Oryctolagus cuniculus: one gene and its partners. The protein of the gene in region 1 interacts with the protein of each later gene in a pairwise test. Links are inferred from orthologs where the notes say so. Each region holds a gene or a part of one and is shown on either strand. Other genes may lie near its edges. The genes, in order: DDI1, KLHL42 and CYGB.

The links.
Region 2: the proteins of DDI1 (region 1) and KLHL42 interact in binary tests that used the Homo sapiens proteins (3 or more experiments, as listed by UniProt). The two-hybrid records come from large-scale screens. The link is inferred for Oryctolagus cuniculus from reciprocal best matches to the Homo sapiens genes DDI1 and KLHL42.
Region 3: the proteins of DDI1 (region 1) and CYGB interact in binary tests that used the Homo sapiens proteins (3 or more experiments, as listed by UniProt). The two-hybrid records come from large-scale screens. The link is inferred for Oryctolagus cuniculus from reciprocal best matches to the Homo sapiens genes DDI1 and CYGB.

Annotation. Positions count from the first base shown.
Region 1 is NC_091432.1:95,772,331-95,782,145, reverse strand, and holds the start of DDI1 (protein DDI1 homolog 1), read right to left. Parts: upstream 5,647-9,815; 5' UTR 5,414-5,646; coding exon 4,211-5,413; 3' UTR 1-4,210. UniProt on the Homo sapiens protein: Probable aspartic protease. Seems to act as a proteasomal shuttle which links the proteasome and replication fork proteins like RTF2. Required, with DDI2, for cellular survival following replication stress.
Region 2 is NC_091440.1:124,895,439-124,905,417, reverse strand, and holds the start of KLHL42 (kelch-like protein 42), read right to left. Parts: upstream 5,801-9,979; 5' UTR 5,720-5,800; coding exon 4,848-5,719; intron 1-4,847. UniProt on the Homo sapiens protein: Substrate-specific adapter of a BCR (BTB-CUL3-RBX1) E3 ubiquitin-protein ligase complex required for mitotic progression and cytokinesis. The BCR(KLHL42) E3 ubiquitin ligase complex mediates the ubiquitination and subsequent degradation of KATNA1.
Region 3 is NC_091448.1:4,248,797-4,258,558, forward strand, and holds the start of CYGB (cytoglobin), read left to right. Parts: upstream 1-4,331; 5' UTR 4,332-4,399; coding exon of another isoform or gene 4,400-4,470; intron 4,471-4,491; exon of another isoform or gene 4,492-4,545; 5' UTR 4,546-5,697; coding exon 5,698-5,834; intron 5,835-9,762. UniProt on the Homo sapiens protein: Probable multifunctional globin with a hexacoordinated heme iron required for the catalysis of various reactions depending on redox condition of the cell as well as oxygen availability.

The DNA of each region.
Region 1 (9,815 bases):
TTCCATCCACTAGTTACTCTCCAAATGCCTGCTGCAAGCAGGACTAAGCCAGGCTGAAGCCATGATCTGGGAACTCTCTCCAGTTCTCTTGTGTGAATGGCATAACCTGATTATTCTAGCCTGGGAATCTGGTGCCTCCAAAAGTGTACATAAATAGGAAGCTGGAGTTGTGAGCAGAGCCATGATTCAAACCTAGGAACTCTGACATGGAATGAGGGTGTCGCAAGTGATGTCTTAACTGCAGCACAAAATGCATGACCATAGAAATATTTTTAAAATAGTAAAATGTGGACGTTATGGGGGGAAGCCATTGTAATCCATAAGCCGTACTCTGGAAATTTATATTCATTAAATAAAAGTTAAAAAAATATATAGTAAAATGTAATTTTAAAAATAACTGGGAAAGGTTAAAAGTTACATTATTTAAAGAATCTTGTTTGTTTCAACTTTATATGGAAAAGGTGACTTCAAACAGTTCACAGAAAATGGAATTAAATGAAAAAAGTAAGAAATACAAACTTTATTCCACAACATAAGTTTCATCAATATCAAAGCATTTTTGTAAGTAATAGTATCAGCTATTTAGTCTGTCCTTCAAGAAACAGAATGTCCCAGGAATATAACTGTGTCTGTGCAGTTCTTCTTACATTATTGACTAAAGAAAAATTGATGCTCTTTTTAATATTTGGAAAGAAAAATAAGGCAAACGGAACTTTTAGGGCTCTAATGCGGGTGACTAATGATGTCTTATTCAAACACCCACAAAGTTGCCTTCCTTTGGTGAGAAGACTGGCAGGAATATTGTTGTAGGGGAGCAGGACTCTGGTGACGTTTCCCAGGTATTTTTTTCTGCTAGAGCTTTGGCTTTCTCAAAATACCATCTTCTCAATCCGATGTTTCCATTCTCTGTGTCGCCAGAAGGTCAGTGAGCAGAACGCCTTGAGCTTCCCAGAAACCTATGGCCTCGACCTTTTCTTTTGAGCAGTGCCTTTTTGCTTGGACTAGACCACTGCTCCTCTTGGAAGACGTTGCTTTGATTGTGATTTGTCTCCACGACTGCACTGGTAAAGCCATGCTCTGTCTTCTCTTCCCTCTCCTTGAAGCAGGGCTTCATGATCCTGATCCCATTCATTTGATATTGCCATTGAGTGCTCTGTACATTTCTGTATCTGATTGAAGCTCTTCAGTTTTGGCACACATAGAACAGAAAGTTTGGTCCACTTTAATTCTTCAGACAGAATTATGGAAACTGAACCGATTCAGCTGTTTGTGGTGCTGCGTTTTGTCCGTGTTCATAATTGTTGATTTCCTTTAAGTAGGGCATGAATAAGATGAATTTTTTCCTCTCCAATTGATGCGGCTAGTTTGCCGCTGCAGGTGTCATCTTTAACATTATCTCAGCCCTTGTAAGACAGCTTATCAATTTGTAAGCTGTGGATTTCTTTGGAGCGTTGTCTCTGCAAAATTTGTATAAAGCAACGACAATTCCACCTTTCTTCTACCAAAGCTTCACCGTAAATTTGATGGTTTGTTCTTGCTTCAGTTTTAGCACAATTCTTGTTGCTCTGATGAGGCTTTTTTCAAATTGACGTCTTATCCTTCTTACTGCCCCAGAACAAGTCCTGTTCAAATATAACAATTTAGTACAAGTTTTGGTGCAAAAAATGAAATTCCTGTGTAATTTTTATTGATTGCATTTTCTATGAACATTTTGAAGACCCTTTTACATGCCCCCCCCTTCTCTCTCTCTCTCTTTCTCACTCTGTGTGTGTGTGTGTGTATATGTGTGAGACAGAATCACAATGTAAAATGCAATTTGTTATAAAAAAGAACATCAAATTTTAGATAACTTAATATTTGTAATTCTGAATATCACATTACCCATTTGTAAAATGAGGTTAATTATAACTATTTTCAAGGTTTATTCTGAGGATTCACAGAAATAATATATGTAAAGTATTTTATAAACCTGACTTACATAGAAGACAAGCAAAAGATGTTGCCTTTACTGAAAATAACCATTTAAAATTTAATTGAGTAGGACCCTTTCAAAAGTTTATATAGGATTACATCAAGATTTTTAAATCCATAAAATGAATTTTTAAAATACTTTCCAATTTGAAAGACATTTTTAAAAAAATTAATAAAGCATTGCTTAATTAATTCACTTTGTTCATTGATTTTTGAGGTCATGGTTTTTTAATTCAATAAAAATGTTTTTAATTTACCCATCCATTCACTCATGTAATATTTTTGCAAGTTGGAATATGCCCAAAGGATCATAGCAGAAATTTAATAGGTTCCAAGCTTGTTATATGAGAAACATTTAAAGAATTTTAAAAAACCCTTCAAAAAGACCAGTATGATATTTATTTCATATAGAAAAGGATTTCCTCATGAAATAAAGAATAAATGTATTAGCAGAGAGAAGAGTGACAGTCACAATATTAGAAGTTAGATGACAATGCATTTTAGCCCAAACTAAGAAAATATATACGTGATATTTGTTCTGAAACATTATAGCCACCTCGGGACGTATGTTCCTCTGAGAAGACATGGTGAGTGTGCTCATATCTGACATCACGTAAACTGTCTTCTGCCTTAAGCATTCTCTGATTTTTAGATGCCATTATTGGACTAAACATTCTGATAGACTACAAGCTAAACTTTCATTGACAGTGAACATCATTTGACATTGAGGAGTCCCTTGTAGTATTTGCAAATCAATGTGTTCTCCATAAATGGATTTTAACATCGAGTCCAGAAGATTGGAGACTGAGCATGGGAATACTTGTAAGGTGGGAGTAGACTGATGGTGGAAGGAAAGAGGGATGTTCCTTTTCAGTAGCCTTAGTGAATGCTTCAAGTGGTTTTTTGGTATTATTAGAAAAAAAGTAACAAATAATATCCTGTATCATAATATAGTTTTAGCACTTTAAAAGTGGCTCCCCCAACCAAAACCATTTATAGATGGTGCATACGAGTAGTAAAATAGATCAACTGATTTGTCTTAATTACAAAAGGCTAGGATTATAACACACTTGTTTACTTTCAGTCCACCATTGTTTCTGAGTCTTGATGAATTATTGTCCTGAAGCCTTTCTACTTGAATCTGATGGCAAAAGGTGGCTGCACCCTTTCTCTCGGGTATTTTAGGATTCCTCATTTCCCACTGTGAATGAAGAGTAGCTTTGTCAGGGTGGATCAGAGAGCCCGATGGTGTCTCGTATGTCATCTCATTCAGGTATTTCCAAATAATATTTTAACAGTGAAACCCCTTGTTCAAATAGTATTTATGGAATAGAAGCTTTCTAAATAAACCAGATTTCTTTGTAAAACAAACAAACAAAAAGATGAGCTTGTTGAAATGAGTTTTAGGGGAACTAGACCACTACTTGTCCCCAGTGTCCACATTCCTACCACCATGCAACCGCTAAGCTCCCTAGAAATATCATAACTTTAAAAAGGAAAGCTGACTCATCACCTTTGTTTTACAATTAGGGCTTCTTTGAATCCAGGGGAAAGAGAAACCTATGTTAAGTATGGTAGGAGGAAAATGTGCTTTCTCAAATATGACAAAAATACCTTGTAAGGATGGGTGGCATTGAGCATGGCTCCAGGGGAAGGAAAGTGGTAGGTCACGAGTTAAGTGGCCCCTCTGCTGTCTGAGACATACTTAGCAAGTCTTAATCAACTCAAAAGTATCATTGACCCATCATGCCTTTCCCAAAGAAAACAAACTCTATGAATACAGATATATGTCTCTCCGTATAAATGTTTGGGTTGTGAGATCACTTTCTGTTGATGTTTTGTAAGGTCTGCAGCAATGGCTATTTCCAGGGACTTTTGCACAGTAACAGTTGGTTTGGATAAGCCACCTGCAATCTGATAGAAGGGTGTCTGATAGGAAGAAGCTGGCTTTCCTTTTCAGGGATTGTCAGGGAGCCAGCTGCTTCCCCCAGAGCCTTCCCAGGGTGAGGGTCAATGATCTGGGAAAAAGGGAAATGGAAAGTGGGGCCAAGACCAAGCAGTGAGCATTTGTGTAAGTACCCATCTGAGATGAAGTTCCCCATCATAGTCCCAAGGCCAGGCTTAGTTGTTACTGATGTTTTTAATGATTACATTGCCAGTGAGCTCATGTCTTATAATTTCTGGGACCTGAAGCATCCTCAAGGTGGTGACACATTTCCAACCTGCTTCAGTGCTTCTTTCATCCTGAATCCTTGAGTGAATGCTTAATGGTGTTTGCCGTATCCTTGTCTGAAGGCTCTTCTTGCCCGGTAACACTTACCAGCTTAGCACAGGGGGGTAACTCTCCCTCAGGAAGAAAGGATGTCTGTGTGCCAGTGGTGCCAATCACCAGCACATTTTTCTTCAAATCGATGGAACACTGATGCCTCTTCAGCATATCTAGTCCAAGAAGCATGTCCATGGGCTGCTCCTCAAGTATAGAGAAAGAACATTGCAGGAAGTCTCCTTCAATCTGAATTTGAGCTAAATGAACGCGGCCGATGATTCTTTGTGTGCCCACTCCTTTAGCCACTCCAGCCCATCGTCGGTCCACCAGTCTTATGATGTTGCATCTCTCCGCACACGCTTGGCTCATAATGGTCATCTGGGCACCCGAGTCAACAAAAGCCTTCAAAGGATGTCCATTCACTTTGCAGTTGATATAGAGCATTGCCACTTGCCCAAAACTCTCGGGGGCCTCTTCCATTGCTATATTCATGTTTTCTTCAATGTTCTGCTGCCGGATTTCTTCTTCTATTTTGGCCTGAGCTTCCCTATCAAATGGGTCCGCGGAGTAGAGACGAAGCCTCTCTTGCTCTCGCAAGGCCCTCTCCCTCTGCTGCTCCATCAAGACCTGAGAAAATGTTTCAAGGTTCCCGCTGAGCAGAGCTTCTGCCAAGGAAGGGTTGCGTTCCTTCAGCAGGGACAGGTCGTGAGGATTGGACAGCAGCATGCTACGGATCAAGGCTGGGCTGTCCAGACCTTGAGCAGATGCCATCTTCTCTCCAGAGGCCAAGCCGTGGGAATGACGAGCAGAAGGCGCACACGGTTGCTGCACAGGGGGTTGCTGCTGCTGCCACCGAGAGCCTGATGTCCCAGGCGTGGCGATTCCATTGAAATCTGTTCGAGGCTGGTTTGGAGTCCGTCCTGGAAGCCTAGGTCCCACATTCTCCTTCTGGAGTAATACAATGACATCACCGTCTTTGAGGCCGTAGGAGCCCAGGGAACAGTGGTCATCAGCGAGGAGGTGCTCCATGTAGATGAACTGGGTCTCTTCGGCAGGGATTCTGGACTCTGTCTCACACAGGACTCGGAAGTCACGGAGTTCAAAGTCAGGGCTGACCTGGAGGGAGAAGGTTACCTCGGAGAGGTCCCTCCGCACACAGTACACAGTGACGAGCATGGCATGGGCCCAGCAGGGCCAGGCGGGCAGAGAGCATCAGGTGGTTCGCTGACTGACAGGATTGGTCTCTGTTGTTGGTGTGGTTCCTCCTGGTGACCTGGTGTATTGCTTATTCACCTCCAGGGGAGGCTTGGCCACTTGCTGGTTGGGGGTGTCTCCCAGCCTCAGCGCCTGCTGTGGAGCCTGATGGAGCTTGAAGGGAACATGTTGAGTTCTTAAGTTCCTTGGTATGTGTGCTGTTTAGAACGTCAACTCCTATTTCCATGGAGACAAAGTTCCTCAAAGACAGTAGGTTCCAAGGCCAACCCTTCATAGACTATTTCACATAGGATCTGAAGAATATAACTTCATCTATTCTTAAATGACATTAAAATTTACTTTATTCTTCTTAGAAATGTATTCTATTTACTTTTACTAATTCCCCAAACAATGAGAGCTTGTTTCCTACCGTGCTACGTGCTTAGTAGGAAACATAAATCAGACTTGCTACCTACCCTTGAAGATTTCATTCTGGAAACAGATGAATGGGGGAGAAGGTAAATAACAACCCAAGAGGTAAGTACATTTACAAAGAATTGTTTATTTGAATAGCACCTATAGTGCTATGAATAGAACAAAGGATTTTTCTCTAAGCAGAAGAGGACACAGTCTGTATGTTGAAGGATGACATTTTCCAGGTGAAAAGTGATGAAAATTACTCCAGACAAAAGGAATTGCTTGGACAAAGGCAACAAGTCATTTTATTTATAGAAAAAGTGAGACCATTATTGAAATGCAAATGTGTATACAGTTTTTGATGGTAGCCTATGAAGCTAGAGAAAATTGTCAAGTCAATTTATGAAAAGTCATCTGTATACCCAAGGCATCTAAATATTTTCAATATTCAGGAATCCCCTATAAGAAGAAGGTTGGGCAAAGAGAGAAAGTGGAACAAGAAGAGAGAGAAGGGGAGAGGAGCAGAAGAAATGAAAATGATTTAAAGCAGGAATTCTCAATTTTTTCATCCAGTTGACTTAAGGTAGAAGGTTTCTGAAACATGCGAAGAACATTTGGTGGCAGGAGAGACTTTTAGGAATGTTTTTTTTTTTTTTTTTCAGTAGTTCAAAGAGTAAACTGTTGCTAGAATCTGAAAGTCCAAGGGAGAACTAAAGCCAAACAGTGGAGAATAAAGTGTTTCTTGAGTAAAATGGACAGGATGTGTTTACCTATGGAAGTATGTGTTTACCCATGGGTGTGGCTAGTGTTGAAGCAGCAGAGTGTATGGAAAACAGAGGGCCTCTAAAATGGGAAGACCTGGTAGAAATTGGCCACTGCTCTGAAGGGATGACTCGGGTGAACTTCTGTGGTAACCAATTTGACATTCAGTAGTAAAATTCAAGGCAAATGCTACTCTTGGGGCCAGTAATGCCTCTCTCTGACTCTAAGCAACAGCCACCATCACCCACATACATATATACCAGTGTAGAGGCTTCCAGGGTCAAGGTTAAGAGGTCTTTCCAAGAAAATGATGATTGAGTAGTAATTCTTGAGTGCCATTTAATTTTTGCTATATTTCATATACTATTTTGCACTGTGAAGATCTCTCTCCCATTTGTACACTTAGGAACTAAAAGATATTAAACATTCTGTGCTTGTAGCAACCTCCACTCAAGATTTTCTGGAAAGTCTACATTGTTACAAAGAGAAAGGTGTTGGTTTTTGTTGGATGGAAGACTATTCTCATTCAATGCTCTAATTACCATAGTATTTCCAAAGTCATATGCTCTGCTATTAGAAATGTTGACTGAATGTCCAGTGTATGTGAAGTATGAGCTGTGTTCACAAGGATAGGAACACGAGCAGTGTTAAATACAAGCTGCGTTCTTAAGGAAGCTCGCAGTGTAGAAGAGGATACGTTCACACACAGAAAAACTGGGGGAGAGGGAGAGGACAAAACAGTAGCACAGTAGAAATCTGCAGAGTGCAGGGCAAATCAGTCCATCTGGAGAACAAATGAAGATGATGATGGCTGGGCAGGGAAGGCTTCCTGAATGAATGGGGACTTAAAAGCATGATAAGGACTCAGCCGTGCGTGGATGGGCTGGGATGAAGAAACAAAGGTTGAGAAAGAAAATGACTTGTCTTAGAGACTTTAATTGGAAAAGCAGAGTTTCATGATATGAAGGATTTTATTAAAAATATTAGGGAAAAAAAAAAGCCTAACATCTTAATTTCCCTGTAGGAATATGCCTGAATTACTTTTCAATATCTGTAGAGGAACGGTACTTTGACCCAACAATATTAAGTCAGTTTCTTCTGTCCTTCTTAGAAGCTCATCAGAAATTAATAGTGGTTTCTCATGAATTTGGAAATAACAGTGATATTAGACATCCGTGCAAAGTACTTTGCTAAAGAACAGACTGAGAAGCCAATAGGACTTGGATTCAATATTCCTACCCCACCCCACCTCCCAAGTAGCTTTGGACAGTTTGTTCTTAAAACTAAAATAAGTTAGGGAGATAATAGTACGGTTTTTGTTTTTCTTAACTAATGAATGAAATTATTATTAAATAAGTATTATCATGTTTTCTGTTGGTAAAGCAAACATTGAGGATTCAAGTTAAAATAAAAAGTAGCATTTTTTTCCATTTTACCATTGCTTTGATACTGAACATATGAAATATTGCATGTATGTTTTATTGCCTTTCTATAATTCTTTACTTTTGATGGCTCTTTGCATTTATATGGGTTTTATTATTTTATCTTTTATTGGGAATACATACTGAAAAGCAAAAGCCTCAAGATCTGGCCAAGATCTGGCCAATCTGTCATTTCGTAGAATATAGGATGTCAACATTTACAAGAATCCTTTGGATCCTGCAGTCCAGCTACCCATGCAAGAAACTGTTTAAAACTCTGTTGTGAAACAGCTTGGAATCTGAAAAAAATAAATGCAGTCTCTTGGGGCTAATACTTCTGTTCACGCGTTGGTCTTCCCTTTCACTCGGCACTGTTGGTGATTCCAATGCCATATGTGTGATTCTCTTAACTCTAAATTTAAACTTAAAAACTTCTGTTCCTAACTTAATAAACTTGAAGATAACTGGGAGTATATGTAAATACCACTAAACATAAATTTTGTAATTTCATGAATGCCTAACACACAGACTGCTGAGAAATAGAGGACCTGAATTACATAGGTAGCTGAAGGGTATTGCAGCTTTTCTCGGAAAGTTCTTTATATTCTGTTTCTTCCTTGGTAAGTACAATATCAGAACGTAATTTAATCTTTCGTTGATAAGTGAGATTTTTACAAGGTCCTAAGGCTATCACTCAGAAAATCAATTCTCATTGTATAGCCTAAATATCCAGAAAATAGAAAAGATGACACTGATTTCATACTCACCAAGTAAATAACTCTAAAGTTTTTTCCAATAAAGCTGCTTAATACCTTTTATAATTTGGCTCTTTCTAAAAACTTAATACAGAAAAAAAAAAGAAGTCCAAGTAATTGATAATTCCACTCAGTATATATAGAGTCAGTTGAGCTGTAAAGTAATACCTATTGCTTTACAAAACAAAATAAACTTTTGTGTGTGTGTGAAAACACTAGACTATTTATTTAATTTTTTTAGATTTTATTTATTTATTTGAGGCAGTGAGAGGTAGAGACAGAAAGGTTTTTCAGCCACTGGTTCACTCCCCAAATAGCCACAACAGCCAGAGCTGAGCTGATCCGAAGCCAGGAGCCAGGATCTTCCTCCAGGTCTCCCACACAGGTGCAGGGGCTCAAGTGCTTAGGCCATCTTCCACTGCTCTCCTAGGCCATAGCAGAGAGCTGGATCAGAAGAGGAACAGCTGGTACTAGAACAGATACCCATATGGGATGCTGGCACTGCAGGTGGTGGATTAACCTACTGCAACACAGCACCAGCCCAAGGGTATTTATTTAAATGTCATTATGGGGCAGGTGTAGTGACACAGTAGGTTAAGTCACTGCTTGAGATGCCTATATTGCATATCAGAATGACTGGTTTGAGTCATGGTTTCTCCACACTTCTGATCCAGCATTCTTACTAATAATCCTGGAAGGCAGTAGGTGATTGCCCAAGTATTTTGGTTCCTGCCACACACATAGAGACCCAAATGGATTTACAGGCTCCTGGCTTCAGCCTGATCTGGTACTGGCTATTGAAGGCATGTGGGGAGTGAACCAGTAGATGGAAGGTTTTTGCAATCTTGCTTTCTCATTCTCTCTCTCTCTCTTTCTCTCTCCTCTATGTCATTCTTCCTCTTAAATAAATGTCTTTTTTGTAAATGTCATTGTGCAATGTATACAATAGTTAAACCATCTGAGGCAAACATATTTGTTTGCTAAGCTGTGATTTCTTCATTTAAATGTGTGCCTGGTATTACTTATAAA
Region 2 (9,979 bases), on another chromosome or scaffold:
AGCAGGCAGAACGCGATACAGGGTATTTTATAATCCTGGCTTGCAGGAGCCTCTCCTGTGCAAGACACAAAACCTGCCAAACGTGACAAATCTATGAGAAAGGTCGGCTTCCTTCACCCGGGAATAGACCACAAACCCGAAACCTATACCGGGAGGCTCACAAGGCTGGTGCTGGCTGCATTTTGTTTGCTTTGCAAAGTTCCTGTGGATGCTGATGACTTGTTTGCTTTTAATCTATTTGAGAGGGAGAGAGACACAGACACAGACACCTCCTATCCTCTGGTTCACTCCCCAAATGCCTGCAGTAGCCAGGACTGGACTGGGGCCAGGACTGAAGTCAAAGCTGCAAGCCAGGAACTCAACCCAGGCCTTCCATGCAGACAGCAGGGACCTGGCCCAACTGGAGCCACCTCTGCTGCCTCTGAGGACCGGCATGAGCAGGAAGCTGGAATCCGAAGCACAGCTGGGACTTCAACATGGGCACTCTGATGTGAGACATACGCAGTCTAACTGGCAGCTTACCTACTAGCCTGATACCTCCCCTGCTTGTTTTTCAAGTGGAATGAGTTGCCAACATTTTAAAATAAGGATAATTAGGGCAGGCATTGCAGCACAGCAGTTTAAGTCAAAGATTGAAACGCTGGCATCCCAAATTACAGCATCAGTTTAAGTCCTAGCTGCTCCACTTCTGAGTCAGCTCCCTGATGATGCACCTGGGAAAGCAGCAGAAAATGGCCCAACTTCTTGGCCCCCTGCACCCACATGGGACACCCGAAGAAGCTCCTAGCTCCTGGCTTCAGATTGGCCCAGCTCCGATCACTGCAGCCACTGGCGGAGTGCACCAATAGATGGAAGACCTCTCTCTCTCTGTCTCTCCCTCACTCTCTGTAAATCTGCCTTTCAAATAAATACATACATCTTAAAAAAAAAAAAAAAGTGCCTAGGAAAGCAGCAGAAGGTGTCCAAATGCTTAGGCCTCTGCCATCCATATGCATGACCTGGATGGAGTTCTAGGCTCCTGGCTTCAGCCTGTCCCCTGTCCCCCACACCCGTCGTGTTCTGTAGGAGAATGAACCAGCAGATGGGGGAATCTGTCTCTCTCCCTATCACTTTGCCTTTCAAATAAATGTATAACTCTTAAAAATAAATTGGGGTATTCAGTTGGGAACACCAAGTTCTGACTTCCACCTGGGAATTACTGTAGCTGAGAAGGCACTATGGGGCAGCAGTTCTCCAATACAAAATAACTGTACAACACTACCTGACAAAAGAGATCCGTAAACGTACATGGAACTACTCAAACAAGAAAAATATAAGCCAAGTTTGGAAAACCTGGCAAAAAGCATTCAGGAAAGAAATACAAATGGCCAATAAAGATAGGAAAAGAACAATCTCCCTTCTAACCAGGGAAAAATCCCACCAGTGCTTCTGTCCATCAGACTGGGGTGGGGGTGCACATGATAATATCTGGTCTTGGAAAGCGTACAGGGAACTGGCAGGTCAAACACCATTGGTAGAGAGAAAATCAGAAGAATTTCTGGATGGGTAATTTGGCAGGAGGCACCCAAATGTCAAATGTGCATACACTTTACCCCACCTGCCCAGGGATGCCAGGAATGTGACATCTGGAATTAACTCACTTAAGCCGAATATACACCCCTAAGGGGTGCTCAATGTAACGCTGTTTATAATGGCACACAGAAGCAACCTGAGGTTCATGAACAAGGGAAGGGCTGATCACATTAGGGAACCTTCTCAAGGCTTCAGTGCATTAGCAGGGAGAGAGGCCTGCATCTGCTGACATGGAAAGCAACTCAGTAAAGCCCGCCGCTAAGGGGCCGGCGCTGTGGCACAGCAGGTAAAGCCATCGCCTGCAGTGCCGGCATCCCATATGGGTACCAGTTGAATCCCAGCTGTCCCGCTTCCAATCTGGCTCTCTGCTATAGCCTGGGAAAGCAGCAGAAGATGGCTCAACTCCTTGGGCCCCCTGCACCCATGTAGGAGACCCAGAAGAAGCTCCTGGCTCCTGGCTTCTGATTGGCCCAGCTCCGGCCATTGTGGTCAGTTGGGGCGTGAACCAGAGGATGGAAGACATCCCACCCCTGACTACCAAATAAATAAATCTTTAAAAAAAAAAAAAAAGTAGACTGCTAAGCAGAAACACCAAGTGCCACAACAAAGCGCACCCCCTGATGGCACCTGCAAGGTGTTACCCCTCTGCGCACTGAGTACTCCTATATATTCTTCCTTTTGCTATCAACATCTTTACATAACCATGCAATTATAAATTTATAGATGTTTGTATATTTAGAATATTTCAATATGTCCATACACATATTTTTCACTCTGTCGTTTTTCATGTCATTGACAAGTTTCCTGAAAAGTATGTATGCCAGTGGCTCCAATTTTCTTGTTTAAAAGCATAGAAAGACAATTCCCAGGAAAAAAAGGCAAAGAATATGAAGGAGGGTGGGCGCTTGGGACAGCAGACGCCGCCTCCTGGGATGCAAACGTCCCATATCGAGTGGCTCTGCTTCAGATTCCAGCTTCCTGCTAACGTGCACCCTGTGAGGCAGCAAGTAATGGCTGAAGTTCTCGGGTCCTGCCACCAACGCGGGAGACCTGCACTGGACTCCCAGCTCCTCGCTTTGGCCTGGCCCAGTCCAGGCTGATGCAGGCACTGGGGGAATGAACCAGCAGGTGGCAGATTTTCCTCTTTGCCTTTCAAAAAAAAAAAGAGAGAGAGAGAAAAGAAAAAAAATAAAAATGTATTTTAAAAAAGTACTACCAAGGATTTGTACAGAGGAAAAAACAACTTTTGGAGGCAGGCATTGTGGCACAGTGGGTTGAGCTGCCCACGTCCCACGTTGCAGTGCCCAGGATCGAGTCCCATCTCTGCTTCTGACCCAGCTTCCTGCCAGCGCACACCCTGGGAGGCAGCAGGTGATGGCTCAAGTCCTTGGGTCCCTGCCATCCACATGGGAGACCTGGCTCCTGGCTTAGCATGGCCAAGCTCTGGCTGTTAGGGTACTGGGGGAGTGAACCAGGAGGTGAGAACTGACACTCTCGCTCTATCTTTCAAATAAAAAGTACAAATTTAAAAATAAAAGAGGCTGGAAGAAAACGTGCTGCTCTGCAGTTACTGCCTCTAGGAGGCGGCGGGAGCAACAGTCTGGGTTTCTCTGCACTCTCCTATTTCCAGTGACTCCGCTGTTCTGTGTCACCAGGAAAGCAGCATACTTTGCAAAGCGAATTTTGCGGTGTGGCAGAACCCATCCCCGAGTCCAGCACCTGTGACGAGGACTCCCCACACTGTGAGGCCTGCAGTCCCTGCTCCACGCTTCCAGGCAGACGTATAAAGATGTCGATAGCAAAAGGAAGCTGCTTCCCTCCTTCTCTCCTTTCCTCCCCCCGCCCCACCACCTCTTCCTGTACCTGCTCTCAGCTTGGCCCCTTTCTCTACTACTTGCCCACCCACCGCAGGCCCCATGTTGCCTTTTTTTTTTTTTTTTTCCTTTCTTCAAGTCATTGTGGAGTTTGTAGACCTGGTAGGGAGATGGTAGGGGTGATAGGAATACAGTCGGCCCTCCATCTCTATGGAGCCAAATGAGGGGAGACAACACCCAAACCAAAAATCACGGGTGTACAGAAGGTGTACAGAATTTCTCTCTTGTTCCCTTAAAACATACAGCATACAGTCAGCGCTGTGGTGTAGCAGGGTGAAGCCTCCACTTGTGGCACCTGCATCCCATATGAGTGCTGGTTCAAGACCCAACTGGGCGCCAGTTCAAAACCCAGCTGCTCCACTTCCAATCCAGCTCTCTGCTAATGGCCTGGGAAACCAATGGAAGATGGCCCAAGGGTGTGGGTCTCCGTACCCTTGTGGGAGACCCAGAAGAAGCTCGTGGCTCCTGGCTTCAGGTTGGCCCAGATCCAGCTGGTACATCCATTTGCGGAGTGAACCAGTGGATGGAAGACCTCTGTCTGTCTCTTCCTCTCCGTCTCTGTAACGCTACCTCTCAAATAAATAAATAAATCAACTATCATGTACACAGCATTCATACCACAGGCATTACAGGCAATCTAGAGAAGACATAAAATGTTTGGGGCGGGGGAAAGGACACGCAGAGGTTATGTCAAACACTGCCATCTCATAGAAGGCTTCAGGACTGGTATCCGACTGGGTCCGAGAACCAGCGCCCTGAGTACAGCTAGGGTGGCTGGATTCCAATTCCACAGGTGACTACCGCCAGGCTCACCCTTTGGGTCAATGACACTGAGAAGGAAGAAGCAAAAGAGAGAACAAAAACTAAGACAGAATCCTACACAGCAAATTCTGGTCACTTTCCAGGGACTGTGTCCTGATCATATATTGGTGCTCTAGGGTGAAAAGCTTCAAAGTCACTGACAGGTTAAAAAAAAAAAAAAGGCACCCCAAGTCAGCATGACAGGTAACTGTCCAGTGTGTCTTTAGAATCACCATCAGAACCTGAAAACTAAAAAGAAGGAAACATCTGTAAAGATGAAACTTAAACAGCAGCCTTTTTTAAATAAACAGGCCCTTCTAGGAAGCCACATTGTTTTTCCCACCAGGAGGAAAATCGTGTTGCTTAAGAACACAAGACCTGCAAGGCAGCCACCCAGGCGCGCTGGCTGACCTCATCCTCCCGGGGCCTCTGCTCGCTGGGAACCCCGCCAACGCCAGAGCCAGCCCGGCTCCGGGGGTGTCATCCCTCCCCCACCCTCAGCACACCCCCAGGGGGCTGCCCAGCAAACCCTGGAGCAACGACGGAAGGAGTGGACCAGGGAGCTGCACGCCCAGCAGCAGCCCCGGGCCAGGCGCCTACCTCTTCTGGTTCATGGAAGCCACCTGGAGCCACTCGTTGGTGCTGGGGTTGTAGGAATGCGCAGCGGAGATCTCCTGGCTGGTGATCCTGTAGCCGCCCACGATGAAGAGGTAGTTGTCCAGAGTGGCCGAGCCGTAGCCCCTGACGTTGACCAGGTCCGGGGGCAGGTTGTTGGCCAGCGGGAACCAGCGCTCAGTCATCTCCTCGTACCTGAGCATGGACGGCGGCTCCCCCTGGTAGGGGTGCGGCGCCAGGGGGCCGCCCAGGAAGTCCCCCAGGGCCACCAGGACCGGGGTCCCCGTCATCCGGGCCTCCCTCAGCCTCTGCTTGAGGCTGACGTCCCCCGGAGCCGGGGGAGGCGACCCCAGCAGGTGGAACTGGGGCTTGCACAGCACCTCGTGGAAGTGCACGGCCATGAAGCGCAGGCAGGCGTCCTGCAGGTCGGGCAGGCCGTACACCTGCGCCAGGCGGTACAGCTCCAGGCAGTTGGTGAGCCGCACCTGGGACAGCAGCAGCTGCAGCAGGGACGTGACCTGCAGGAAGGAAGCCGCCTCCACGAGCGCGGCGAGCAGGCTCGCTTCGTCCAGCTCCTCCTCGCCATCGCCCGCGCCGCCCTTGTCCCCGCGCGGGCCCAGCTGCCAGCCCTCGCGGGCGCCGCCGGCGTTGATGAAGTCGAGCACGAGCCGCAGGCCCGGCGCGCTCAGGCCGCGCAGCTGCTGCACCTCGGGGCCGCCGGCCTCCGGGCTCAGGGCCTCGCGCATGCCGGAGCGGTAGAGGGCGCGGAAGTAGTCGCTCTGCTCGATGAGCTTCCTCTTGCTTACCGGGTAGCAGCGGCCCTCCAGGCGGATCTGCACCACCTCCTCGGCCGACATGGCTGAGCCGCCGCGCGCGGGGCCGCTGCCCGCCAGCTCTGCGCGCAAGCCCGGGGCCGCGCGGGGCGCGCCACGGCAGGGCGGCCCGGAGCGCGGGCGGGCGAGGGCGGCCGCGGCTGCGCCCGGCTTCCCGGGCAGCCCCTCCTCCCGGGCGGCGGCGACGGCGGCGACGGGGACTCGGGCCGAGCTCCTCAGCACCACCACCACCACCCCCGGGGGCGGCCCAGCCTGCGGGGCTCCCTCAGCACCAAAAAAGGCCGGGCCGCCGCGCGCGGGCTCCCCCGGCCGCCGCGTCAGGCGGGGAGGGAATCCCAGCCCGCAGCCGGCCGCCGGCAGCCTCCTCCCCCGCCGGCCCTCGCACTTCCGCCCGCCGGCCGCGCCGCGGCTGGACCCGGCGTGGGGGGCGCGCGGGCAGGTGCGGGCCGGGGCCGGGCTGCGGGGACGCCGGCGGCCCGACGCGGGGGAGCCCGGAGCCGGCCGCTCGCTCAGGGCGAAGGAAGGGGGAGCAAGCGTGACAAGGAAGGGCTGAAGAGAGTTCCGGGTCCGGGGGCCAAACCGGGGGGTCGCCCCCTCAAGGCCCAGGCGCCCGGAGCCACCTGTCCGGTGTGGTCGTCGAGCAGGAGCCATCTTGTGGGAGAAGGGCCCGGCCGGCGGCCCAGGTGGTCTGGGGTCCGGCGTCCTCGTCTCTCTTCAGGGACAGCCGCGGTCCCCCTCGTGTCCGTGAAGTCAGCCCACGTGCCCTCTGTTTTAGAATCAGGTTTTCCCACCACCTCCTTGTCCTACCCCCCCCCCCCCGTAAGAACTAGGAGGCAAAACCCTGTGCTTTTCCGCGTCCTCTCGGTTGCTGACAAACACAAAGATGGTACAGTCAAGGCCAGATCTGCGGATCCCACGGCGAGGGGAAGCCCCGCGCGCCACCCGGGGAGCTGCGGGCGGGCGCCAGGGGGGCAAAGCCAGGGGAGGTTTTTAAGGGCAAAATCGAGGATTCCCAGAAGACGCTTTGACCAGGAACGGGGTGCCAGCCAGTGACCGCGCGGAGGTCCTTGCACAAGTCCGTTTTGTGTTAGTGCCCTTTGTGCAAGCCCGCGTGGTTCAAGCGGACTCTTGGGGTCGTCACTGTCCAGCAGCAGCGGTCAGAACCCTAGCTTCCCTTATTTTTGTTAGGGTTGACACCAGCACCTCCGTTAGGATTCAGACAACTGTAACACTGCACGTGGCTGTTAGAAGACTCACCTCTACCATCAGCGCTCCTGACTTCGGAGAGGGACAGTCTGGTGACAGTGCCTTTGAATAGCGTTAAATAAAAATCACAGAAGGCCGCTGGTTTGGACTAAACTCCTCACTGTCATGGAGTCACTCACGCTCAAGGTCACTTCACCAGGCTGAGACCCTTCCATCACACAACCAGGTGGCCCTAACAGCCAGTTGCAGTTGGTTGATCACGAAGCCCCCACCCACCCACCCACACACACACGCCCCATCTTAATCCTTTTGTTTCTGCTCTCTTCAACCCCTTCTCTGTAAAAGCAGGCTTTGCATGGCTCACCGGAACAGTTACTCTATTTTCTGGAATGAAGTGTTGCTTGAATCTAGGATCCAAAATAAAGCCAGTTAAGATCTGCCCTTTGACAATATGTTCAGTAAGATCTGTAGGAGGCCACTAGTGTGGACCGAGCTCCTGCACTGGATGGACCAAAGTGGAGTCAGCCATGCTGCACGCCCCCTAGGCCAAATCCAAGTGGGTCCCACCCCAGGTGGCTTGCTGACCTCCCAGGAGAGAGAGAGATGGTGACCAAGTATCCAGGCAGGCTGGCTGGAGTCAGCCTTAGTAGGAAAGCCGCCTGTGCTTTAACCTTTACAAGAAAGGTTGTCAAGAACGGAACCTCAAATGCTGGCTCCTTGTCTGTTTCCGCTACAAACCTCTTCTACTTGGACCATGGAGACAGTCATTGCATTTTATGGAATGATCTGTTGCCTGATTCCAGAAGCACAGAAAGCCAAATGAGATCTTCAAATTAAAAAAAAAAAATTTTTTTTTTTTCAATGAGCTACACAAAGAGAAAGAGCAAGATCTTCAAACCAACTGTTCACTCCCCCAGATGCTGGGAGTTACACAGCTGGCACTGGGACAGCTGGAAGCCAGTAGCTGGGGACTTCATCCGGGTCTCCCAGTGGGTGGCTGGGGCCCAAGGACTTGAGTCAACACCTGCTGCCTCCCAGGGTGTGCATCAGCAGGGAGCTGGACTGGAAGCCGCGGTGACACTTGAACCCAGAACTCCAGTGTGAGATGCTGACATCTCAAGCAGCACCACAGTGCCTACCCCCCAAATTGAGGTCTTTGCACTAAACTTGCTCTTTTTGTCTTCTGACAAGGAGAAGGGTAAGGGACCAGGATTTGGGGGGGGGGGGGGCGGGCAGAGGGTTTGCTCCTTCTTTCCTTCCAACAATAGCAACAAAATGTAACTTCTCCAGGCCAAGATTTGTAAACTGAGTATGGATCTGGATTTCTGTTTTTTAATTACAGGCTTGAGCTTTCTTCTTGAATGGCGAGTTGTTACATAGTAACTTCTTCCTAAGTGCATCTCCCCCTTTCAAACTGAGATACAGCCCCATCATGCTGATGAATGTTTTATGCTAGGAAAAGGAGAAAGTGAAGCACTGGAAAAAAAAAAAAAAAAAAAACAACGTCTTGGCAATGAAATATGAACTCCACTGAGTAGTTACATTTTTACTTCTCACTGTGTAATTTTACTGCTTCATACTGAGGTGTTGTGTCTTTTTTGCTTTATGATACACCAGGAATAAGGAACTAAAATTTAAGCAACACAAATCATGCTGGTAGGTTCTTGCCTTCCTGGGAACAAGAAAGGAGACAAAAACAGATCTGTGATTTGCCCTGCTCAGTTCTTTTCTGCGATCCCTTGGAACACTTCTAGCCGTTCACCCTGTTTGACCAGGCCTTGAAGTCATCACTCACAGAACCCCACCCCACACCCACCTGTGACACCGCCACTCCCCAGGAGGATGCAGGGAGACATTCTAGGTGTGGGGTGGGAAGTGAGTGACCTTGGATGGAGCAGATTCTTTGGGAAGGGAACATGCACCGCCCACCCTGCCCACCAGCACCAGGCCTTACCCCAGGGGGGTTTGCCGGGAGGCACCCCTGCATCAAAGACACTCAGCCCTGGCAGTGTGTTGTGCTACAGTGAGCGACAACGCTAGACTCAGTGGCTCAGCCCTCAGTCCCTCCTCTGTCTCTGCAGACACTGTGCCAAAGGATGCCTTTGTTTCCCAAGTGTCACAGATAAGCCCCTGACCGGTGTTTTCTTACCTTTGTAAAGCGGAGCAGTGACTCACAGTGAGTGAGTGATGTGCGTTAGAAGGGCAATTCGAGCGCAGTCACGTGGTCAGGGCAGGAGCCGGTGGGACGAGGAATCTGGGGTGTCAGGCTCACAATTCCAGGCCCTGATCCTGCCGCCTCTAGGCCCCCACTCTGACAGTCCCCTCAGTTAGGGCTGGGAGGGTCATCAAAGATCCAAAGGTTTTAATAAATCACACAGTACAGTTTCTGTTAAGCCAGAAATGTAAAGTCAAAGCAACGGAAACTCCTTTATTTACATAAAACCCAAAATATTATCTCTAGGCTTCATGAAAATATTGCTTCCTCTAACAAATAATCAAAGCATATGGGGTGACTTAAATAAAAGTAGTACACGGTGTTAACATAGCTCTGTTCCATTCAGGCTGAGCATCCTCACATGGGCAAAACTTCCATTGGTTTCTGTCTCCTAGGTCTCCTAGGTCTCCAAGTCTCACCTGGGACACTTGGAAGCTGGGAGTCCTGGACCCCACAGTAGCTCTTGAATCATGCCCCTGGGGGAGATTAGAGGTTTTTAAGATATGGAACTCATTTACTTTTTTTTAAAGATTTGTTTACTTACATGAAAGGGTTACAGTGAGAGGGAGAGAGATCTTCCATTCGCTGGTTCAGTTTCCAAATGGCCTCAATAGCCAGGTCTGAACTCCATCCAGATCTCCCACTTACATGGGTGGCAGGGGCAAACACTTGGGCTGTCTTCCTCTGCCTACTCAGGTGCATTAGTAGGGAGCTGGATCAGAAGTGGAGCAGCCAGGACTCAAAGCAGTACCCATATAAGATGCTGGCATCGCAGGCAGGGGCTTAACCCTCTGTGCCACACACCAGCCCCTGTATCTCATTTCTCAATGACTATCAAGAGCATGTCACTGGGGGCTGGCGCT
Region 3 (9,762 bases), on another chromosome or scaffold:
CGTTGGGAGCAGCTGCCTGCAGCGGCTGAGCCCGGATCCGGGAGCAGAAGCGGAAGTCTGCGTTTCTGTCTGCTTGGGACCAGGCAGGGCTGTGGAGAGAGCGAAATGGCAGAGCAGCTGGGGGCCAGGGAGGCCGGCGCTGCTGGTACTGAGCAGTCGGCGCACTGACAAAACAAGTGTTGCTCCTGCCCATTTGGAGCACACCCGCGCACGGGAACACACGCACACACACACACGCACACACACACTCAGCACCGGGGAGGGCGGGCTGGCGGCTGCCCCATCCAGCTGCAGGCAGACCTGTCTCACACCCAGCTGGCCTTTCTTATTGATTCTTTCAGCCCGGCTGCCAGGGGCACAGGTGCCAAGGCCAATGCCACGGAAGTGAGTGGCACCACGGCCAACGGACACCGGCGCAGGTTTGGGCCACGGGCTGGCAGAGACAGGCGGCCAGGCGGGTGGAACCCCTCTGCCCAAGCAGCTGGCAACCGGCCTCTGTGGGAGCCCGGATCCTCCACTTCCCAGAGAAGGGACGCCGGGCAAACGGTTGACCCTGCCTGTGCGTTTCCTCCCATGGAGCCCGTGGGTGACAGCATCACCGTGCACCTGGGTTGTTAGAGGACGAACTAGACCTTGACGGGTGGCTGGGCGCTCTGGGCTCTGCACCGCCTCACTCCCTGCTTGAGCTGCCCCAGAGCTAGCCTGCCCACCCAGGCCAGCCCACCTCCCTCTGGGCTCAGTGGCAACAGGCCTCTCTGGTCTCCCCGCCAGCTCCCAGGGGAGCCCACAGGCTGAAAGTGCAGAGTCCACCTGCTTCCTTCCGGTTCTGTTCCCCCCTCCTCCCAGGGGCAGGGGGCCAGACCCAGGCTTGGGCTACCTCGGAAGCCAGGACAGATCTGTGCCCAGAGCTGGGACTTGCATTCCACGGCGGACACCCCAGTGTCCACAAGCACCGCCCCAGCCTCCTCCCCTGGCCTAGAAGGTGCCATCGAGACCGCACCCGCCGTCTCCGAACCGGCTCTTGCCCCGCGGCCCAGAACAGAACAGACCGGAGGTGGGAGCTGCATGAAGGATCCCACCCTCCTGCTGCCAGCCTCCACCAACGACCACGGGAGCTCGGGACCGCCTGCTGCGTCCCCCGTGGCCTTCGCACTCTCCCCTCCTCGCCCCATCCCTGCCCTCTGCCCTCTGGGGCTCCCGGCCCTGCCCTACCTGCCTGAGCCAGCTGATCCTGGTCTTGAGGAGGCGAGAATTCACTTCAGAGGCTCTTTCTCCCTAAACGGAGGAGAGCAGAGTCAGAGGCCTGACCGGACCACTCCCCACGCTTCTGTCTTTCGTCTTCCACCCCTACCCCCGGCGATCCGCCCCAACGCCGCGGGGCAGGCGCACCTAAGAAGCCCACTGGAATTTGTGACCCTGGCACTAGAGAGCAGAAATCACACCCCAGCCACACCCCCCACCAGCCCGTGATTCCCCGACGTCAGACCGATTTTTCCAGTTAACTGGGTCCCAAGGAGTTAATAGGTAACTGCTTCCTTCTGGCTAAATCACGCCAGACCAGGCCCGGCCAGATGGTCCCCAGATCTGGCCTTTCCTCTCCTGCCGGGAGGTCTGGGCCGGGTCCACGTGGAAGTCGGCGGCCGGATGGCGTCCGGTGAGCCACAAATTAGAGTGATCTTAAGCAAAGTCGCTCACAGCCCCCGGACCCCCAGTTTCCCGACCCAGTAACAGGAAACGGACACACACACGGGTCCCGCCAGCCCTCCAAGGCTACTGCGACCTCCAAGTGAGTTCATGTCCGAGCCACGTCAGGCAACAAGAACGCACTGATCAGGCATAAAATCACGAGAATCACCCACGCTGGCCGGGCAGCAGCTCCCAACCCTCGTGCTAACCTCTTATTAACCCGCGTTTACGTGGAAACAGCCTGGCCGCATCATCGGTCCAAAGTGTCCCAGACAGCAGAGGGGAGCCAGGATGGAGACCCAAACTCACAGCGAGGACCAGTGGGCAGGGTCAGCCTGACTCATGTCAGCCAGGCACTATGAGGGTGACCCCAGCCCTCCTGCAGGTCGAGGGACAGTGGCACAGAGACACATGCTTCCCGAAGTTGCCCGGGGCTGCCCTTGGGACGATCAGAACCTGGGAGGCTCCCAGGACGCTCACAGCGACAAGGAGGCATTTCAAGGGGGACACAGCGGGGCTGGGGGCGGGCAGGTTCCCCAGCCAGGAAGAGACTCGGAGCACGGCTGGCAGGCCTGCTGCCGGTGCCCTGTGTGGACACACAAGCCAGAGGCCCTGGAGCCGCCTAAGGATCTCTGCTTCTCAGCCTGTCACTGGGAGTGGGGGGGGGGGGTCTCAGACACGTCCCACCCACCCCCCCCCCCCGCGTGGGTCTTCAGGCACAGAAAGAGCGCGTCGCCCGCAGGTACTTGATGCAAATTTGCTGATTTTCTTTTCAGTGTTGGGAACCTCGGTCATGCATGGACGCTGGGAAGCGGCCCAGGGAAGGGAAAAGCAGGAAGTTCCCATAACTTCGCTCCCTTAAGGGCCAGATGGCCGCAGCCCAGGCAGGAGTTAACTTTCCGGCCACTGGAGACAGCGTCCTGCCCGCAGGGGCGGCCCAGCCAATGGCACGCGGCGCTGATGATGTCATGCTCCTCCCGCGCCTGCTATTGGGCACCAGGCGGCGAATCCAGCCGGCGGCTCGGGCCGCGGGGCCGCGGAGGCGGGGGCCGGGCGGCGGAGGGGGAGGGCAGGGCCGGGAGCGGCGGGCGCAGCGGTGCAGGGCGGCTGCGGCCTCCTCCCTCGCCCGCTCCCCTGCGCCTTCCCACGGAGGGCGCCCCGGGGACCGCCTCGCACTCGGGCCAGCGGGCAGCGACGTCTAGGGCCGCACGAGGCGGATGGGGGCTTCCATCCCCAGCTGGAGAGAGCAGACCCCTGGCCTGCTGGCCAGGCACACAGGGGTGACCGGGGAGTAGCCAGGCAGGCACAAGGGCGCGCGCACACACACACCCAGCAGACTCTCCAGCCTCACCTGCCTGTCGACTGCAGGTCTGTGTCGGAGCTCTTGGTAACTGCCCCGTCCACGTCGCTGGGCTCTCTGTGGGAGAGAAGGGCTGTGGGCGGTGCCCAGGCCCCCTGCCCCGCTGCTCCCCACGACCTGGCCACGCTGGACTCCGGGCAGGAGGCTGCAGCCCAGTGCCTTTGAGGTTTTACGGTCCCCCCTTTCAGAGCCTCCTAGGTCTCCTGCCTCCTTGCCTGGGGGTCCAGGCAGTCCAGCCCTCCTCCCACTTGGCTGGCGCCCAGCCCAATCACCCCCCCCACCCCACCCCCTGCCCGGAGCCCAGGCGGTTTCTCACGGTTGGACCCGGTTGGCAAACCGGCGGCGCCAGAGCATGGCCAAGGTGCTGAGCACAAAGAGGGTGGTGCACATGGCTCCGCTGCCCCATCCCCTCCCAGGCGGAGGCCACGATGGCCTGGCCAGCTGTCTTGAGGCTCTGGTTGGGATGGATTTAGGAGGCACAAGCTGATTAGTGGGATCAGCAGCTCTGACCTTGTGAGGGCTGATTAAGCTGGCCGGGCCCAAGGTCTCCCTCGAGTGGCAGGATAAATGGACACGGGCACTACCCAGAGTGCAGATCTGAGAGCACGCGGGCCTTGAGGCCAGCGTTGTGGCACAGCAGCCCATGCTGCAGCACCGGTTCGAGTCCCAGCTGCTCCACTTCCAATCCAGCTCCCTGCTAATGCGCCTGGGAAAGCAGTGGAGGATGGCCCAGGGGCTTAGGGCCCTGCACCCCATGAGGGAGAACTGGTTGGAGTTCCTGCCTCGCAGTTTCAGCCTGGCCCAGTCCCGGCCATTGTGGCCATTTGGGGAGTGAACCAGCAGATGGAAGACCTCTCTCTCTCTCTGTCTCTCTAGGACTCTAGCCTATCAAATAAATAAATCCTTTAAAAAAAATCTTTAGGTCTTGCCGTCAAGGGGCTGACACTCCAGACAGGTTAATGCCGCAACAGACTGGTTTGGGAGCTATTAAAGGCACCTGCTGAACACCTGGGAAGCTTCGCGTCTCGGGATGACTTCCAAGAAGAGCCGGGGACGACTGACTTTGCAGGTGCCCAAGGAAGACCAGGCCCTCACAGCTCTGCCGGGGCTGTGGCAGCTGCCGGGAACCGGAGCTGAGCGGCCGGGAGAAGGATGCCACAGCGAGGGCAGCCGCAGAGCAGGATGAGGGAAGCCAGCAAGGCGAACCCCGAGGGAGGCTGCTCTGTCTCATCCTCTCCGGCACCCACTTCAGGACCAGGGCGGAAATCAGCCTGCGCTCACAGATGCGGTACTGGGTGCCGACTCGTCCCCACACCGCGCACAGGACACACGCAAAGGATGAGCTGAAACCCCATGGAAAAGGGGAGCCCAGCCACATCCCAGGGGCACCTCTCGGGCAGCCGCGTGGGACGCCATCGGCGCAGGTGAGTGTGTGTGGAGCCTGGCGGCAGAGTGGGATGAGAGGACCCGAGCCCACACGGTCTCCTTCCCTGGTCCAGGAACCCAGCGGTCATTAGATGGAGCACTTGGACCTTGAGTTCCTGGAAGAGCCCAGGCTTGACCTTGAAACAAGATTGTTAAAATAAATACAGGAACCCAAGTGGAGGAGGACACGGCCGGCTGGGCGGCGGGACGCCAGGCCTGGAGCAGGCCAGGGTCACCCCACACGTGCTGGAACACCTGCTGTGGGGCCTGGCCATCCCCAGGAAGTCTGTGGAAGTCTGTCCCCTCCTCCCCCAGCCCTGCAGCTGGTGGTGGCTGGGCCGTCTCCAATGACCTGGGCCTTCCTCTGGGCTTCTGGACACCCAGGGCCCTGAGGTCAGGGTGGTGCCCAGATCTCCCCAGCCTGTGCTGGCCGGAAGGAAAGGGGGTGCAGGCCTGGGCACCCTTGGCGGCTGAGCTCAGGTTCCGACGACCCCGGGCGTGGCAGGCGCGCGGGGAGACGACCCTAGCCTTCACCCCTCCTGGGCCTGGGGTCCTGCGCACTGGAAGTGGCCAGGGTCCGCAGCGGGCGCCAGAGGGGCTGGCATGACCTCCTGGCAGGGATGGCGGGAGAGAGCCCCCGCCGATGCCTGGGAGGAATCGACTTCGAGTCCAGTCCCCACCACGCAAAGGGTGCACACAGCACACACGCCCGGCTGCGCCCGCGGCGAGAGCGGGACACGGCGGTCCCGGACCCGCACCCGCGGTGCGCACTCCTGGGCAGCCGGCGCCGCGTGACCGCCGCGCCCCGGGAGACCCCCAGCACGCCGGCCACACCTACCCCGGCGTCGCCCAGAGGTCGACCCCACCGCGGCCTGGCGGGTGGGGCGGGCGAGTGCCCGCCGCCTCGCCCCCACCCCGCCCAGCCTTCACCTTGCCGGAACTGGCTCGCCGACGCGGGGTAGGGGTTTGAAACGTATTTATTTTTTTTTAAACATTTTCCCAGCAGACCACATCCCCGCCCCCCGCCGGCGGGCCCCCGCCCCCCGCACTCACACACACACATTCGCGCGCACACCCGGCGCGCACAGACACACGCGCTCCCTCCCTCCGGCGCTCTGCCCCTCGCCCGCCCGCCCGCCCGCCCGCCGCGCACGCAGCCGGCCCCGGCTCCCCGCGCCCCGCCGCCGCCGCCGCCGAGCGAAGCCGGGCTGGGCTTGCAGCTGCTCATGGAGAAAGTGCCCGGCGAGATGGAGCGCCGGGAGCGGAGCGAGGAGCTGTCCGAGGCGGAGAGGAAGGCGGTGCAGGCGACCTGGGCCCGGCTGTATGCCAACTGCGAGGACGTGGGGGTGGCCATCCTGGTGAGGTAGGTGTCACCCCGGCCGGCCGGGCCCTGTGCAGGGAGGGCGGTCGCGGCCCGGGGGCGAGCTCCGGCGTCACCTCCCCAGCCGCGACTGGGGCCAGGCCGTTCAGAGCGCGGGCAGCGTGGGGCGCAGCCTTGGATGAGCCCTTGCTGGCTCCGGGGTAGGGCTCCCAGCCACTGGGGTGCAGGAGGAGGGCCCCTCGGATCCCGCCTCTCCCCAGCCTCGGAACTCCTGGCTCAGACTCTGAGCCGGTTGCCTTCCTGGCCACCGCCACCACCTCCCCCACGAGCTGTGAGGCCCACACACATTTTTCTGGGGCAGTAGGGGATCCCCATTTTAGAGACAGGAAAACTGAGGTGCAACCGAAGAGGAGGACACAGAGGGGCAGAGTTCTCTCAGCTCAACCCTCTGGAAGGAGCAGAGCAGAGGGCGAGAGAGTGGAGGCCAGGGGGACCTGGCTCTCCCCGCTGTCCAAAGGGAGGGCCGGCCAGCCGTGCGCTCCAGGTGAGGCACAGGTAAGTGGAGCAGCAAGCCATCCTCCAGGACACATCCCCCGCTGAGTTGGAGAGGGGCCCCGCCCTGAAGCCCCCACCTGGGTTCTGGGGTCATTCCGGCTCCAGGTGTCCCCGACAGACCCACGGACACAACACCTGTGCAGGGTGCACGGGCAGCATCCCTGTAGAGCGCCTGTTCCCAAGCCCCACAAGCCACTAACTGACCATGGTGACCACCGATGCTTTCTTCCCACGCCTGCTGGTCCCTGGGGTGCGGGCCTCGAGGCGCCAGGCCACCGGCGCTCTAAGCCCCCTGTCCGTGGCAGAGGGGAGCTGTCAGACAGAGGACGGAGCGGGCAGGCTTGCTGCACGAAGAGGGGACGAAACTGGCATCTGTCAGGACAGCTCCATGCCCACCTGGCGCCCTGTCCCGGCCCCGTCTCTGGCTCCTCTTCTCCCCATCACGCTCTCCCCCCACACCTGGGACCTACCCCGCAGCACGCCGATCTGCCCTGATTCCACTTCCGATGAGTTAAGGAAGGGGCGTCTGTGCCAGCTGCTTCCGGGCCCAGAGACAGCGGTGGGGGGGGGGTGAGAGGGGCCAGGATCCTGAAGCCACAGACTCCAAGCGGGAGCAGAGCCACAGATGCGCCAGAGTTGGCAGCCCCGAGGGGCCCCCGCAGCCGTGGGTCTGGCACACACGGAAGTCACCGAGGGGAAATGAGGCAGGGTTCCCAGACCCCCGGGGAATTTCTGTCCCTGGGCCCTGCCATGTGCCGCCGAGGCGCCTGGCCTCGGAGGGGTGCAGAGGAGCCGAACCCATGAGCTCTGTTTGGGATGGTCTGGGCTCCTGGGAGGTTTTGTTTCTCTCTCTCTCTCTCTCTCTCTCTCTCTCTGCACCCACTCCTGGTTCCCTGTTCTGACTCCTGGATGGGCTGGGCCCGGGCTGGGAGAGGCATTACCCAAAGCACTCTGTGTTCAGAGAAAGGCCCACCGTTCATCTGCGAAGGCTCGGCTGGGGCCGCTGCTCACTCCTTCATGTCCACCGGAGCCCGGGGCAGCCACTCCCCGCCAGCCCCATGCCCCAGGCCTGGCCAGCGACGGAGGGATAGAAAGGGGTTAGGGCAGGAGCCGTCCTCAGGGTCCCCAGAACCTGTCGCAACTCCCCCCCTTTCCCACACCCGACACACATCCACAAGACCAGCTCTCTGCCCCTCACTCATCCCCACCAGGCCGGTGGGGTGAGGCCCCCCCTGGCGGCCACATGGGTGGTGGTGGAAGAGGCCTGGGGGGAGGAACGCCCACCCTCCCTCCTGGTTGTAACTCGGCCGCCTTCCCCCCCACGCTCAGACAAGCCTATTTCAGGCTCTCTTGGAAGCCCAGATGCCTCCAGGAAGGGAGAAAGTCCCCAGGAATGGCCGGGGAGGCTGGGATCAAGAGGGCCCAGACGCCCGGGGACTGTCCTCAGGGCCACACCCTGGCCTGAGTGTAAAGCAGGCGACGGCCCCAGGCACGGTCCCCTGACCAGCAGCCTATGCAGGTGGCAGGGCCCCTCCTGGGCTCCTTCCCGTCCCCAGGATGGCGATAACAGCGGGGCAGGGATGAGGGAGCTGTGTATACAACAAGTGCTCAAGAAACTTTGCCTGTGGCTTGCTCATCTATAAAATGGGTAGAATCCCCACTCGCTCCGTTTGAGATGCTTGGCACCTTGTCGCGTGCAAGGCAAAGCGAAAGAGCATTTTGTAAATTTTAAATTGCAATTCCAAAAAGCCCCAGAGGCTGAGGCGGTCAGCGACATCCACATTGGGGTTTTTCAGGCTGGTCTCTCATCGCTGCAAAGCTGGCAAACCCACCGCCTCCCTCATCCTCACCCGGGTCCCATGAGGCGTGGGACTCAGAGCTGGGAAACGGTTTGGTCTCCGTCTGAACTCCCCCCACCCACAGCCCACAAGGATACAGCAGCTCTGTTGCCAGAAGGGGTGGCCCGGCCGGAAGTTCTCAGCCCCCACCCCCCACCCCCGCTTCTGCAGCCCATCTCTGGCTAAGGGGCCGCTTTGGCAAAGGATCGGCGAGGGGGACGCCGCCCGGCGTGAAGCCGCCCGGCACACAGGCCCCAGACAGCCTGGCTGTTTTCCGAGGGTTCCGTTAAGTTATGTAAGTTCCGACGGAGCCCGTGCATGTGTCTCACGTGACAGCCCCGCTTGGGAAAGGAGGTGTGGATTGTCCGCACGCTCGCCAGCCGCAGGGCCCGGGCGGAGGGTGCCGGAGATCCAGCCCGACAGACGGAAGTTAGCCGGGAGGGCCTGGAGGGGACAGCCTGGGCTAGCCGGGAAGGAGACGCAGCCCGCGGAGGGCTGGTGAGGGGAGCTGTTGGCTGGAACCGAGGTGTGCTGGGGGGAGAGCGTTCCCACATTTGTAAGAGGCTGCCTTGCCCTGTTAAGGAGTTTTGACTTTGTCCAGTAGACAGTAGGGAGCCATTGAAGGTTTCTGAGGATGGGAGTGGCCCAAGGAAAGCTGCCTTGGGGGGGGTGGAATCGGATCATTTCGGGTAAGCTGGAGTGTGGAGGCGCCAGGGGCCAGGAGGGCCTGGGGTCTGCAAGGAGCGGGCGTGCCGGGGAGGTGAGACGCACGCATGTACAGGCACACGCGCACACACACGACGTAATGCCGGACCCACGCCAGGCAGGCCAATCCAAGGGCCGTTTCTAATTAAATAAAATGACCAACGATCACTGCAGGGAAGTGGAGAGAGGAGAAGGAAGACAGTGTCCTCGCCCCTGCCGGGCAGCCTGAACCGACTTCCACACCAGGCTCTGCTTGGTTCAGCTGCAACCAAAACCGTGTCTCGTGTCAGCACCGGGCACGAGGCGGGTGGTTTCTCATTTCAGCCTCACGACAACCCAGGAGACAGAATGACCGTGCCCATTTTATAGATGAGGATACTGAGGCTCAGAAACGTTAAACCCCTCGCCCTGAATCACACTGGCTGGTGACTCCGGAGCCGTCTCGGCTGGGGGCTTGAGGAGCGGGTAGACTTTGGACGGGAGAAGAGAGCGAATGGGTGCAGACGCCTGGGACAGGAACTCCTGCCGACCTGGGCGGGACCTGCATGGAGGCAGATGCGAGCCAGCCCACATCTCGGCCCATGGCTCCTGCCTGCTCCTCGGCCTGTGGCTCCTGCCCACTCCTCGGCCCGTGGCTCCTGCCCACTCCTCGGCCCGGGGCTCCTGCCAATACCTTGGGCCTGTGGCTCTTGCCCACTCCTCGGCCCATGGCTCCTGCCAATACCTTGGGCCCGTGGCTCCTGCCCACACCTCGGCCCGGGGCTCCTGCCCACTCCTCGGCCCGTGGCTCCTGCCCACACCTCGGCCCGGGGCTCCTGCCCACTCCTCGGCCCACGGCTCCTGCCCACTCCTCGGCCCATGGCTCCTGCCCA